Pelodiscus sinensis: one gene and its partner. The protein of the gene in region 1 purifies or fractionates together with the protein of each later gene. This does not show direct contact. Links are inferred from orthologs where the notes say so. Each region holds a gene or a part of one and is shown on either strand. Other genes may lie near its edges.

What was found. Proteins that work in one complex are often made in the same cells at the same time.
Region 2: the proteins of PFDN2 (region 1) and VBP1 fractionate together in Homo sapiens (co-fractionation; 8 studies listed by BioGRID and IntAct, counting the BioPlex papers as one, with this or other methods). This does not show direct contact. The link is inferred for Pelodiscus sinensis from reciprocal best matches to the Homo sapiens genes PFDN2 and VBP1.

What each region holds. Positions count from the first base shown.
Region 1 is NC_134734.1:16,074,927-16,082,026, reverse strand, and holds PFDN2 (prefoldin subunit 2), read right to left. Parts: upstream 3,036-7,100; 5' UTR 2,975-3,035; coding exon 2,882-2,974; intron 2,506-2,881; coding exon 2,417-2,505; intron 1,348-2,416; coding exon 1,224-1,347; intron 340-1,223; coding exon 160-339; 3' UTR 9-159; downstream 1-8. Other genes in the region: NIT1 (deaminated glutathione amidase), read left to right, coding at 3,218-3,219, 4,788-4,892, 5,133-5,408, 6,273-6,376. UniProt on the Homo sapiens protein: Binds specifically to cytosolic chaperonin (c-CPN) and transfers target proteins to it. Binds to nascent polypeptide chain and promotes folding in an environment in which there are many competing pathways for nonnative proteins.
Region 2 is NC_134723.1:29,341,627-29,348,640, reverse strand, and holds the start of VBP1 (prefoldin subunit 3), read left to right. Parts: upstream 1-3,917; 5' UTR 3,918-3,981; coding exon 3,982-4,074; intron 4,075-7,014. UniProt on the Homo sapiens protein: Binds specifically to cytosolic chaperonin (c-CPN) and transfers target proteins to it. Binds to nascent polypeptide chain and promotes folding in an environment in which there are many competing pathways for nonnative proteins.

The sequences.
Region 1 (7,100 bases):
ACCCAAGCTCATGACAGAAAAATGTTTACTTAACAAAAAATATTACAAGAGCGACACCAAATGATAAAGTTAAGCCTCAGAGGTTTGGGGGGGGGAGGGGAGGGGAGGGTGAGAGCACAAAGTCCTTTGGGAAAGGGCTCAGACACAACAGTGTCCTTACTAGGAAACCAGGACACCAGCGGAGCTGGTCTTGGCTCCTGCCCTGTCAGAGCTCTCCTTGGGCGGCTGTTTCTGATCATCCTCCCCCATCAGGCGGATGTTGTGCTTCTCCCGGAACTCGTTCAGCTCCTGGCCCTTCGTCTGCAGCTGCTGGGTCAGGTTCTCGATGATTTTGTTGATCTGCAAGTTTGGAAGTTGGGTGGAGGGTGGGAATAGTGCAATGCCAAGGCACAGTGCAGGGTGGGCACTAGCATGCACCTCCCTTCACCCTCCTGTGGGGATCTATTTGCAATTCCAGGCTGAGAAGTGCCATCCACTTCTCTTCATGCATGACAGCGTCATTCAACCCCAGGTCAATGTGCATGACCACAAAGCTGTACCCCCTTCCCCCCCCACACCCTCTGGGGACAGGAGTGGGACATCGCAGGGGAGCATATGGCAGTAGGTGGTCAATTAGTGATGGGACAGCAGCTGGGCTCACTGTGAGGCAGACTCAGCTGCTGTGAGGCCCTGCCCCAGCTCCCTGAAGGGTGAAGGGAAGCAAACATCACCCTGCCACACAGCAACGATTTAAATTAGGAAATGAGAAGAGCCCGGACTCCTGGGTTCTATTCCTCTCTTGGTTACAGATGCACTGCGACAACCCAGCCTGAGAAAAATATGCAACCCTCAATGTCCCCACTCACTGTGTTACACCCTGCGTGGGAAGGGACTAATTGCTCTTAGGGACAAGGTATGGTTTGGTAGGATCTTTCTGGGACCCAGAGTGAGGGTTTCCACAGGGACCCAACTCCCCTTGAAATCCAGCGAGGCAGATATCCTTCCAGCTCCCAAGCAGAGCCCCAGAGAGAGAGGTCCAGCACCTTCCCCATTCCTGGACACAATGCACCGCCCACCCCTGCACTAACCACATCATGGCCCCTCTAGCAAACTAGAGAAGAGACTCCCTCACCAAGAGAAAGGGCACATAGCCAGCATGCATGACATCCCCACCCCCATGCCAGTGAGGCACAGAGCAGTCTGTGCCCTCCCCAGACCCTGCCCATGCCTAGCACCCATGTTACCTGCTCTTTGTTGCTCTCCAGGGCAGGGAGGACCTCCTTGACAGTGCGCTCCACCAGCACCCCACCCACCATGCGGTAGCACCTGCGGGTGGGGTCCACCTCTTGCAACGTGTCAATGACCAGGCTGTAGAAAAGGCAGATGCTGCTGAGGGCCCTCCCAGCACCACAGAGACCGTACAGGCAGGGCTGCAGATCCACAGGGCCCAGCCAGTCGCTATAGCAGGGAAGGGGAACCTCCAGCCAGTGGGTTTGCTTTGACCCAGCCCACAAAGCTCAGAGCTCCCCCAGCAGATCAGCCTGCAGGCTCCGCCTGATAGGCAGGGAGGAAGCAGCTCTGGGAACAGCAACATAGGAAAGTTCTGCCTCTGTGCTCACTTAAAGATCTACTCCTGTGGCTCCCACTGGCCAGGAATAATGGCTAATGGGGGGGCTGGGGGACAGTGCCTACAAGCCCTGGGTCACCTGCGCCCCAGACCCTCAGAGCTGGGCCTACCCCTCCCATACCCAGCCTCCTGCCCTGACCCCACCACCTCATCCCACTCCCCAGCAGCCCCCTCCCCAACACAATGAACCCCTCATTGTTTAACTCACTCCAGAGCCTAAGCCCCCACAAAATCTACTAGCCCCAGGACCTCAGAGGAGTTAATCCAGCTCTGGGGGTAAGTCCTGAGCCTCGGCACTCCACTCCGCCATGACGCTGGAGTTTGTGGGGAATGCGTCTTTTCCCCCTCTCTCACTCGGAGAGCAGGCCAGTGAAGGCTGAGGCTGAGCTTTTTGGTTTGGTTGTTTGCTCCTTATTTGTGGGTGGCCCTGAATGATTTTTCTGTGGGCCAGTGGCCCCCCCACTGGACCCTGCACTATAGTCTGAGGCCCAGCCTACCTGATACCCAGAGCCCTGTGTGCAGAGTCGCAATGGGATCAGGGCTCCAAGCAAGCCCTGAACACCAAGGGCAGAGCCCGACATCCCCCTGACGATGGCAGGTAAAGCCCAGGGGGCCAGTGACCATTTCCAGCACTGGGCGGGTTCCTCCCCCGCTGAGCAGCGCAGGGGGCACATGGGCTGGGCCCTGCGCTGCACTGGGGGGCGGGGCTGAGAGAAGGCATCAGGTGACGCTGCAGCAGGCACGTGGCTGGCTGGTGAGGGAGCAGCTAAACGCGCACGGGGGAAGAGGGGGGGCCGATCCTGCCCCCACCTGTGCTCGTTCAGCTCCAGCTCCAGCTCCGACGCCTTCGAGGCCAAGCTCCGCTGCTCCTGCCGCAGCCGGTTGAATCCAGCCACCACCTGGGGGGGGGGGGAGAAGGTCAGTCACGGGGGGGGGGGGGAGCGCTCAGTGAAACCCCCCCCCAAGAGATGGACTCGCCTGGCCCATACACCACCCCCATGGGGTGCGATGGGCCCGCCCGACATACACCCCCCCCTCCTCACCTGGTGCGATGGGCCCGCCCGACATACACCCCCCCTCCTCACCTGGTGCGATGGGCCCGCCCGACATACCCCCCCTCCTCACCTGGTGCGATGGGCCCGCCCGACATACACCCCCCCTCCTCACCTGGTGCGATGGGCCCGCCCGACATACACCCCCCCTCCTCACCTGGTGCGATGGGCCCGCCCCACACACACTTCCCCCTTCTTAGGGTGCGATGGACCCGCCCGGTACCTGCTCCGCCGCCAGGGCTTTGCCGGTGGATGGAGCCGTCGCTGCGGGCTTGCTCTTGCCGCTGTCCGCCATCTTCCCGCCCGTTCTGCGCATGCTCCGTACGCCCCAACTTCCGGCAGGGTCACGTCTTCTACCGGCCGGGAAAAGGCCCCCTCGGGCGCCATGTTTGTTTGGGGCACGCGCCCTGACGCTGGGCCTGAGGCGCCATCTTTGTGAAGGGCTCTGTCGGACTTCGCTCCGCCCGCTCCCTTCCCCGCCCCCTGCAGGATTCCGGCGGGACCGGCCCTGCAGCTGCGCCCCAGGAGCCGAGTCGCCCCCTTCCCCGCTGCCTGCTCCATGTAACAGCCCGGCTCGCTATGGGGCGGGGCTGGGGGCGCCGGCCGCCTCGGGGGGGCGGGGCCGGCCGCCTCAGGAGTTTGGGGGGGCGGGGCTGGCCGCCTCAGGAGTTTTTGGGGGGGGGCGGGTGAGGGGCGGGGCTGGCTGTTTTGGGAGGGGAGGAGCCGAGGGGGGCTGCCTGAGGAGGGTTGGGGGGCACATCTCTGAATCGGGGGTGGGGCCGCCCCCCCCTCCCAGGGACTGGCCAGTTTAGAGCAGGCTGGATATTGCCAGTGGGAGGGGCTGGGGACGAGGAGCAGAGGGGGCAGGGTTCTGGGGTGGACCCAAGATTTCTGGGAGCCCCTGGTAGGGGATGAGGCCTGGGCGCCTCCTTGTTTTGTGTGTGTGGCGCTGACCGTTTCCACGCTTCATCCATTCCCTTAGCAGGCTGGAGTTGCTCCTCTGCTTTCCCCATTTTATTTCCATCCGTCCGGAGACTCTGAGACTTAGGGGCAACAAAACATAGCCAGGAATAGGTCCCAGGACTGGCAGCTGCCCGGATAACTGCAGCGCTAGTGTAAATCACTGGAGCCCAACGAGTGAGAGTTCAAAGAGGAACGGACTTTGAGTCAAACTATTTCAAACTCTTGATTTGTGTTGACACCTTTTAAACTTCAACAGCATATTAACATTTGGGCTGAAGGAAGCTTTAAAGATACAACACTCTTGTTCTTGGATCATGATGTCTTCTGTTCGCCCTAGATTCCCATGCTTTGCTCAAGCCAGACTTGACCTTCTTCCTGCTATTGTGGAGATAAACCATGAGCAGCAAGAAACTGTTTTTTTGTCTCTGGCTGCCTGAGTCCTCTTCTTAGTGTCATATTTCTGGGCTGTTCAGCCCAAGAATCCCATCTGATCAGATGAAGCAAAATGCAGGACAATGTAGCACTTTAAAGACTAACAAGATGGTTTATTAGATGATGAGCTTTCGTGGGCCAGACCCACTTCCTCAGATCAAAAAACCTGGTCAGATGTTTAGGGAAAGCAACTGTGAAAGGAACATGAATCTGGATGACAAAATATTGGTATTTTGGGAAGCTTTTCAAGGAGTGCACCAAGCAGTAAGCGCAGGGCCAGCCAGGCTGGTGTGTTGTTGTAGGGATGTTCACAACCACTGGGCTGACCAGGCTGCTGTGTTCATCAGCACAATGCTGGTGAGCTGAGGTAGGATTGTTCATGAGTACCTGGCTGTCTGTGCTGATGTGTTGTAGCAGGGCTGTTTGTGAGCATTGCGTTGGCGTTGCTCATTTGTTGTGGTGGGATTGTTTGTGAGCCCTGGGCTAGTTTGTTGTGGTAAGATTGTGAGCACTGGGCCCATCTGGCTGGGGTGTTGTGGTAGGGTTGTTCGTGAACGCTGAGCTATTCCTATTTCCCATTATTATTTTCTATTGTGAGGGAGACATTAATCTTCTTTTAAAGCCCCCTCCACATCCCACCCATCACTCCCAGGCTGCCACCTGCAGGCAACATCAGGGCCTCCTGCTGCAGTGGTTGAACAGTCATTAACTCCCCCTCCCTGTGCATCCTCCAGGCTGAGAGCAGTGATCCAGGCCCCCCTATGCCTGCTGCACCACACCTGTCGCCAGGTTCCCTGGAAGCAGCTGCCAAAGATCCCCGCCCGCGCAGCCAGCTGCAGGTATGATGAGCATGGTTGTGGGGAGGTAGATGTCTGGGGGGGGGGGTTGGAGGAAGCTGATGCCTGAATCACTGAGGCCTTTACATGAGCATCCTGTCCAAGGCCATCTCCTGTCTAGTAACACAGCATCCCCACAGGGACCATATAAACTGGGCTGGGGCTCAGGAGCTGCAGTTACCTGCCTCTCTTGCTCCTTCCCTGATCAGTCTGTTCCACTCTCCTCTTGTTCCTGGTCCCCAGCCCAGCCCTGCTGTCCTGTGCCCCCTGGCAACCTGGCATCATGGCTGCTACTGCGCTTAAGCCCCTCATTGCGGTGTGCCAGCTCACCTCCACGCCTGACAAGGAGCAGAACTTCACCAGCTGCTCGCGGCTCGTCCGAGAGGCAGCGCAACGTGGGGCTTGCGTTGTCTTCCTCCCTGAGGCCTTCGACTTCATTGGCAGCAGCAAGCAAGAGACCTTGAGCCTGGCTGAGAGCCTGGAGGGAGATCTGATTATGAGATACGCCGGCCTGGCCAGGTACGGCTCTGGATAAATGAAGAGCAGCCCAGATGGTGCTGGGTGATCTTTCAGGGCCAGGGCAGGTTTGGGCCAGCTTGTCTGTTTATCAGGACTTGTCCCGGCCTTGTTCAAATGGCTGTGATGGGGGCTCCCGCCCCATCCCTGGGGAGCTGGCCCACAGTTGTATGCTGCTCTACAGCCAAACTGTGAGCCTACAATTCATGTCACCCTGTTCCCACCGCTCTCCCCGTGTGCCATTTTGTCTAGAGCTTGCTCCCCTGCCCATGTCACTTTTGACTCTTTCACACCTGATTGTCCTGAATTCTCTTTGCTCTAAGCAAGGGGCTCGGCGTGGGAGCTGGGTGAGGGGTGGGGGCAGGAATGATCTACCTTAGGGGGTGCCAGATCTCTGAAAGGTTGGGCCTTTATGGGGGAGAGGTTGGATGTGAGGTTGGTGGGACTGATGGGCGTTGTGGTCCCTTCCCAGGCAGGGTGGGTGGGGGTTGAGGAGAGGCAGCAAAGCAATGTAAGGTTCACCGCAGGCCTCTCAGCATCTCTTGAAATGACTGTGTGCATAACAGCCCTTCTTGTTGGGACATGCTGTGGAGCCCATTAGCTCTGGGTTGCCAGTCCAGGCATTGACCCCAGTGGGTCCCTGCTGGGCAGGTCTCAGTCCTGTTCCTACTGGACAGATTTGGCTGGCACTCCCGGCCACCCGTCGACATAAGGGCCAGGCGTTGAGTGGGCTGTGGAACCAGTGCTGTCCGCGCAAGCAGGGAAATGTGGGAGGGAAGCTGGTATGCGACTCTTGGTCTCCAGGGCCATTACAGGTTGGGGAGTGAGGGCCAAGCTCCTTTGTAATGTGATGTCTCTCCCTGACAGGGAGTGTGGGGTGTGGCTGTCTCTGGGTGGTTTCCATGAGAGAGGTGAGGACTGGGCCAGCACCCAGAGGGTTTATAACTGCCACCTGCTCCTGGATGCCACAGGTGAGAGCGTCCGGTTCCACGCCAGCCCTCCCTGCTGGGCAATCTCCTGACACTGCCCCTGTGCTCCAAGCCCCTGCAATAAAGGGGCCACCACTCTCTACCCATCGTCAGTGTGACACGTCTGGGTCACAGCCACGGGGGCCAATCGCAGGTCAGACTGTCAGAAACTGGCCAGATGCTCCCACGCTGGCCATAGAGTCTATAATTTAACTAGAGCTGCCACTAATGTGTACTCCTGCCTCGCTGTCCTAGCTTAATGTGGAGCCAACAGACAGACTGGGCTTCTGTGAGGAAAGGTCGTTACTACTGAAAATCACAGGACATTAGGTTCTTCCAGCCTGAGGGGGCCAGTTGCTGACAGGTCAATGCTTGCTAAAGAATGCTGGAGCCAATCTTTAGTCAACGAATTAACAATGGATACATTAAGAAAACAGAATGGGAGTTACTGAGAGGCCAAAGCAAATAAAAGTTGGATCACAGTCTGTTGTCCAAAACAGTAACAGGATGTTAAATCTGCTAGTTGCATATAATAAACTTAAAAACAACTAACAGTCTGGTAGCACTTTAAAGACTAACTTACAAATGCCCAGACTAACTTGGCTACCCCCTGAAGCAGTTGTATATCAGTCTCTCTGGGTTGGCCAAATAGCTGCGGGGACCTCAGGCCGCTTGTTTGGAATTTCCCTTGTTAAAATTCAGCTGTGCAGTGATGTGGTTAGCCAGG
Region 2 (7,014 bases), on another chromosome or scaffold:
GGATAGAGAATAAGACAAAATATCTTATTGCTTTTATATAAAACGATGCTACGCCCACATCTTGAATACTGAGTACAGATGTGGTCGCCTCATCTCAAAAAAGATATATTGGCATTGGAAAAGGTTCATAAAAGGGCAACAAAAATGATTAGGGGTTTGGAACAGGTCTGAAGAGAGATTTAAAAGACTGAGACTTTTCAGCTTAGAAAAGAGGAGACTAAGAGGGGATCTGACAAAAACTACAAAATCATGATTGGCATGGAAACAGTGAATAAGGAAAAGTTATTTTCTTATTCCCACAACATAAGAATTAGGGGTCACCAAATGAAATTAATAGGCAGCAGGTTTAAAACAAAAGGAAGTTTTTCTTCACTGAGTGCACAGTCAACCTGTGGAACTCCTTGCCAGAGGATGTGGTGAAGACTAGAACTTTAACAGGGTTCCAAAAAGAGCTAGATAGATTCATGGAGGTTAGGTCCATCAATGGCTATTAGCCAGGATGGGTAGGAATGGTATTGCTAGCCTCTGTTTCTCTGCAAGTGGGTGACAGGGGAGGGGATCTCGTGAGGATTACCCATTGTGATCCCTGCCTAGGGGACATCTGTTATTGGCCACTGTTGGCAGACAGGATACTGGGCTAGATGAACCTTTGGTCTGACCCAGTATGGCTGTTCTTATGAGGATGAGGATTACCCTGTCCCTCATGATTAGACAATGTTGCTGTAAGGTTTTGCTTCCAGTTAGCTTACAAATGAAGTCGTACCTCATGAGCTTCAGAGGGGTAGCTGAGTTAATCTGTAACTGGAAAAACTTAAAAAACAGCTAATAGTTCTGCAGCACCTTAGGGTATGTCTGCACTGCCACCCTAGTTCGAACTGTCATGATGGGAAAAACAGACATGATTAACAATTTTCATTTGAGCTCTGAAGCTTGGTTTTGCAAGGAATGACATTCCAGTGAATATCATTATGCTAACTGTACCATAAGTATCTTATAATTTGTTTTACAAAGTCATGTCAATGCTAGAGGTCTATAAAGGTTATAACTGTATACAGTTCCACAATCCTTTTCACACACAAAAAAATGGAGATGCTTCTTCCAACATGGAAGAAGCAGCTCTTTGTGGAAAGAGGTCCAATTATTTATTTTTCAGAGCCAACACATAATGCAACACTTCTTCGTGAAGGTTCTCCGTTCCTTGTGCTTTGTATTCAATATAAGGTTCATAGCACATAAAAATAATACAGCATCCTTTGTCATAAGTGTAAGGATTACCTGTGTTGGGCCTGCTAACCAAATATAGTACTACCCATTCAACACAGGCACGTGGCTGCTTTTCCAGAAAAACTTGCCAGCTGTCTACACTGGTCGCTTGAATTTCCGCAAAAGCACTGACGATCTCATGTAAGATTGTCAGTGTTTTTGCGGAAATACTATGCTGCTCCCGTTCGGGCAAAAGTCTTTTGCTGAAAAACTTTTGCGCAAAAGGGCCAGTGTAGACAGCAGAGATTTGTTTTCCGCAAAAAAGCCCCGACCGTGAAAATGGCGATAGGGGCTTTTTTGCGGAAAAGCACGTCTAGATTGGTCACAGACGCTTTTCCGCGAAAAGTGCTTATGCGGAAAAGCGTCCTGCCAATCTAGACGCGCTTTTCCAAAAATGCTTTTAACGGAAAACTTTTCTGCTAAAAGCATTTCCGGAAAATCATGCCAGTCTAGACGTAGCCTACTGGAACCCTGCAGTGGGCAGGTGATCCTGTAGGACTTGCTGCCATAATATGGGGTAGGGAATGGTGGTAGCAATATAGTTTGTTGCAGGTGGGAATGGATGGACAATAAAATCCAGAGCCAATGTTCCCTGTAAGCTAGAGGAGGGAACCTAAGACCCAGAGGCTGGATGCAGCCTCCAGCTTGCCTGGATTCTGTTCCCGAGGATTGGGGCTTTCTCCCTCAGCATTAGGGAGCTGGTGTTGGCACTCCAACCCCACACACACCCCTTTCACTCCTGCACCCACCTTCCCACCCAGGCCCTACACCCCTACTGCGCTCCTGCATCCTATCACCCTTCCAGACCTACCAGGCTCCAACCCACTCCTGCTCCCTCTCTCCTGCCCAGACCCCACACCTGAATCCTGCTTGCTGGCAGTCCCCCTCCCACACAATGAACCCCTTCTTTTGGCCAAACTCCAGAGCCTAGAGGGGTCCATAAAATCTATTAGCCTGTCTCCTTCCCCCTCCCCCAGCACTGGTGTACAAGGGGAAATCAGGTAGTGTCTTTCTGCTGCTTAGTCGGGGACCACGTAAGTGAGGTGGTGTTATATTTTTAAAACATTGTTTGCTTCTCACCTGTGTGCAGCCCATGACTGATTTTTCAGTCCGCCAGCAGTCCCTGCCGTAAGCTGTGTTTGTGGGTCAATCAGGAGAGATTCAAATGCTGCCCTCCTGATTAACAGAGTGTCCTCAAGGAGGGTTTTATTTCTACCAGTGCTGCACATTCACATGTGTCTTGGTGTACATAGACAAAAATTATTCTGCACGTGGATGGAAATGATGAGAGGGAACATTGCCCCAAAGAACAATAATTTAGAGGAAAACACAAAATCTCTCATAAAAAAAACAAAAACAAAACCCTTCTGTGGAACCTTCATATAGCTTCAGGGGGTAGCCGAGTTAGTCTGTTACAGAAAAAAAACAACAAATGGTCTGGTAGCACTTTATAGACTAACAAAACATGTAGATGGTATCATGAGCTTTCATGGGCACAGCCCACTTCTTCAGATGACCGGAGTTATGAGTTTGGGATGTGTACACTCAAAATAAATAAGAGGGGGGAAGGGGAGGGGAGAGGAAAGGAAAAGGGAGGGGGCTAGGAGACAGAGCATCAGTAAGTATCTGGAGAATGGGTACTTAAACCAAAGCAAATAAAAATCCAAGTCAATAGATAGATTCCCTTGTTAGAAAGGATACTACACAGAGAGCTGTTAGCTCCTTCAATGGTTGTTAAATTGGTAGGCTGTGTCTATACTAGAGCAATCTTGCTCTACACTGATCCTGTCTATACTGGCCGTGAATTCTTGCGCAAGTACACTGACGTTCTAATGTATGAAATCAGTGCTTCTTGCACGAGAACTCTGATGCTCCCGCTCAGGAATAAGCCCTCTTGCGCAACTCTTCTTGTGTAAGAGGCCAGTGCAGACCGGCAACATGAATTTCTTGCACAAGAAAGCCCTATGGTTAAAATGGCCATCAGAACTTTCTTGCGCAAGAGAACGTCTACAGTGGCATGGAAGCTCTAGTGCAAAAGCACATCTCTTGTGCAAATGCATATGCCAGTGTAGACACTCTCTTCTGGAAGAGTTCTTGCACAAGACCATGCCAGTGTAGACGTCAACGTAGTGTCCGGGGACTTTTATCTGCTTTTAAGTACCCATTCTCCAGATACTTACTGATGCTCTGTCTTCCAGCCCCCTCCCTTTTTCTCTCCCCCACCCCGCATTTATTTCCAGTGTACTCATCCCAAACTCATAACTCCGGTCATCTGAAGGAGTGGGCTGTGCCCAAGAGAGCTCATGATACCATCTACAGGTTTTGTTAGTCTGTAACTGCTACCAGACCATTTGTTGGTTTTTTCTATATACATATATCATCATGAGCTGTCATGAGCACAACCTCTCCTCAGTTTGTCACCGCCAAGGTCTCATCAGTGGCAAGCAAGATATTGTAACAAAGAGCTTCAATGTGTTAAGCAGAAATACTGCCCTGGGCGTGACTCAGCCCTGTACCATTTTTCCCCTGGGGGCAGCACAGCAGAGGCAGAGCAAGGGGGCAGCACTAGATCAGTATCCTCCCCTGTCCGTCAAAGCGCGGCAGCCAATGGCCGTGACGGAGCGGTGGGTGTGACGCTGACGCAGTGACGTACACTGCGCTCGGCGGCCGGAGGGCGGCTGCTCGGACGTACGCGCGCACGCCGTCAGTTTCCCCAAGATGGCGGCGGCCACCAGCGGCGAGATTTGTTGTGGCGAGGCGCCCGCGGGCGGAAAGCGGGGCCACCTGGGCATCCCCGAGGCGGTGTTCGTGGTGAGAGCCGCAGCCGGCGCCCCGCCGCGGGGGGAGGGGCGGCAGGCCGAGCCCGGGCGGCGGCGCCGGGTGGGAGCTGGGCCGGTTCCCGGCGCGGGGGTCCCAGAGAGCGGCGTGGAAAGGGGGCACCTGGCCCATCTCGGCCACGCCCCAGGGCCCGGCGGGGAAGGGCTCGCAGCCACCTGCGGCTTCTGATCCTCCTGCCCGCGCCGGGGCTGCCCCTTGACCCATCGCCCCCCCGGGTGAGCCGCGGCGCGGGCCCCGTTTCCAGGGGCAGGGAGGCCGGCCCGGCTGCTTAGTCTCTCAGGCCGAGGGGGGTTCGGGAAGGTCGCTCCTGCGGTAACCGGCCGGCCCTGGTGAGGCCGCGGGTCCTGCTCTCTCCCTCTGTGCCGAGGTCGAATTGCTGTGACTCCTGACCGCAGTCGTTGGGAGCGCCCGTGGGGGTGAGAGATGCAGTTCTGGGTTCAGCGCTGTGTCTGCCTGCTTCCAGGCTTGGATCCTGAGGAAGTGTTTGGTGGACATGAGTGTGTGTCCAGGGAGCGGGTTGGTATCTGAGGTTTCCTTTTGTGTAGTGTTTTAGGATCTTGTGTGATGATCCCTGGTTCGGTGTTTGTCTTCTACATTCAAAGCAGCAGTATTCAATATGAAGTGCTTTGTTTTTTCTTAAAGTGTTTTGATATCTCCAGAGTTTTTGAGGAAAACGAATGTCCCGTAGAGAGAAATTCTTTTGACTGTAAGGTGGGGAGCCAACTCTTTTCCTTTCAGAAAATTAAACAGCATCTCACATCTTTGAAATGGTGTGCTTTTTTTTTGTTCTATTGAATTTCCTTCAAAAGTTGGAGGAAAAATAAATCTGCACTATGATCAACTTACTTTGATTATAAAGTTTAGACTGAAAATTGATGACCAATGGCCATATGGTGTTTAAGTTAGATAGGCAATTGCCTTTGCAAGTTCTTTAGATTGTTGTTTAAAAAAAAGGAAAAGTGAATTTGAAAAACCTTAATAGAAAGACTGAATATTGTATAATATGAGGCTATAGGAAAAATTAATAAATTCATAATAATTTTAGGAACAAAGAATTTGCTTTAATGGCTCAGAGTAGCAGACTGTGACTCAGTGTCCAGTTTTCAAGAGTGGCTAATACTAAATGTTTCACAAAAAATTGCTAGAATCCTTGTATGATGGTTAGTGTTGTCTCCTGATGTGCTGACCATGATGCCTGCCTTCCTGCTCTCTGGGGTTCCCCACTACCCAATAATGCTGGGCCAGATTCTCTAGTCTCCTCTAGACAAGGTACAGAGTTGGGGTTACCGCCCCCTTTCGGAGCAGCACAGACAGTGAAGCAGTTCAGCTCTGGTAGGACTTGGCTCTGAGGACTCAGTATCCAGGAGAACAATCATTAAAGGGGACCAAAACCCCACATGAATCTGTTGTACTCTGTAGAAGTTTTACATAGTGAAGGCTCATAAAGGTCACCCACTATATCAATGAAAGAAGGAGATGCACAGTGGTTGCCCTCCATAGCAGTTATTTGCACTGGGATTGATAATAAATAAAAGTGTTTTTTATTAAGTACAAAAAGTAGGATTTAACTGGTTACAAATGAGAACAGTCTGATAAAAGTAAGTTACTAAATTACAATGAACAAAAAAGCTGTTTAAGGTAATGCAAATTCTTACCTTAACAGCTGTTCTCAGGTTAAAGCTTTGTCGGAGTTGATTTTTACTCTAGTTTGGGCCTACAGCTTTTCAGAGTTCCTTAAGTATCCTTTTAGGGTGGGCCAGACAATTTCAAAAGCGGGTTGAAGACAAAGTCTGATTGCTTAAATAGACTTTTCCCCAGGGTGACAATTCTTTCTTCAGTGCGTCCCACCACATGAAAAATTACCAGGTTCAAGATGGATCCCAGAACCTGGTCGCATGGTCATATGTTTTTCTAGGACCAGCTACAGTTTGGACTTAAAAGCCAAACATGACCATTCATGCTTTGAGTGCTGAGTCATTAAGTTTCTAGGTATTGTTACCACATTTAGAATGAACACATTTACTATTCATATTTCTAACTTCACATTCTTCTAATCATTTCCCTTATTCCTTGTATTTCTATTACGTATTATTTTACATGTGTGCAAAACTGATCACCATGGCCAGGATTTTCAAAGGTGACTTTGTCGGGGTGGGCAAAATATGGCCCACCAAACATTTCCCTCCAGCCCACTATGATCCTCTGGGATTCTAAAAATCCCAGGGCACAACACTCAGGTTGCCTGCCTGCCATAGCCCTGACCATGTTGCCCCGGGAAGTGGCCTGCTGCTGCTAGCATTTGCCACACCACTCTTTGGGTGGTGTGAGGCCACAATGGCATGCAAGTAGCCTGCCCGCTGCCCACCTAAGAGCTCTACTGTGCTGCCAGCTGGGAGCCACCTATGGCAAGGGCCTCCTGCCTAGGGTCACAGCATGCACCTCACACCCCATTCAGCACCCCAGCCCTCTGTTGCATCTCTGAACTTCTTCCTGGACTCAAACTGCCTCCCAGTTCCCTGTCCCTCAATCCCCTGCCTGGAAATCCTTCCTGTGCCCAAACTCCATCCCAAACCTCCCTACCCCTTGATTAATATGATAGAAAAGAGTGGCTGTGAACACTTACCAAAATTCTGAGAGTGGCCCCCTGAAAAATTATTGCCCACTCCTGCTTTAGGTGCTCAGTTGGACACCTTGATTTTTAGAAAGAGCTGAGCACCTACCCTCTCCTACATGACAAACTAGGCCCACAAAATCACTCAACCCTTTAAAAATTGTTGGCTATTTATCCATCAGTTTGTATAAAGTCAATACAGTTTCAGAATTACTTCACAGTGTAGTTCTTTAACTTATTGCTTTGTTTGGTCTTTTGACTACAACTGCATATTGAGCAGAAGTTTTTATTGAGCTGTCAGT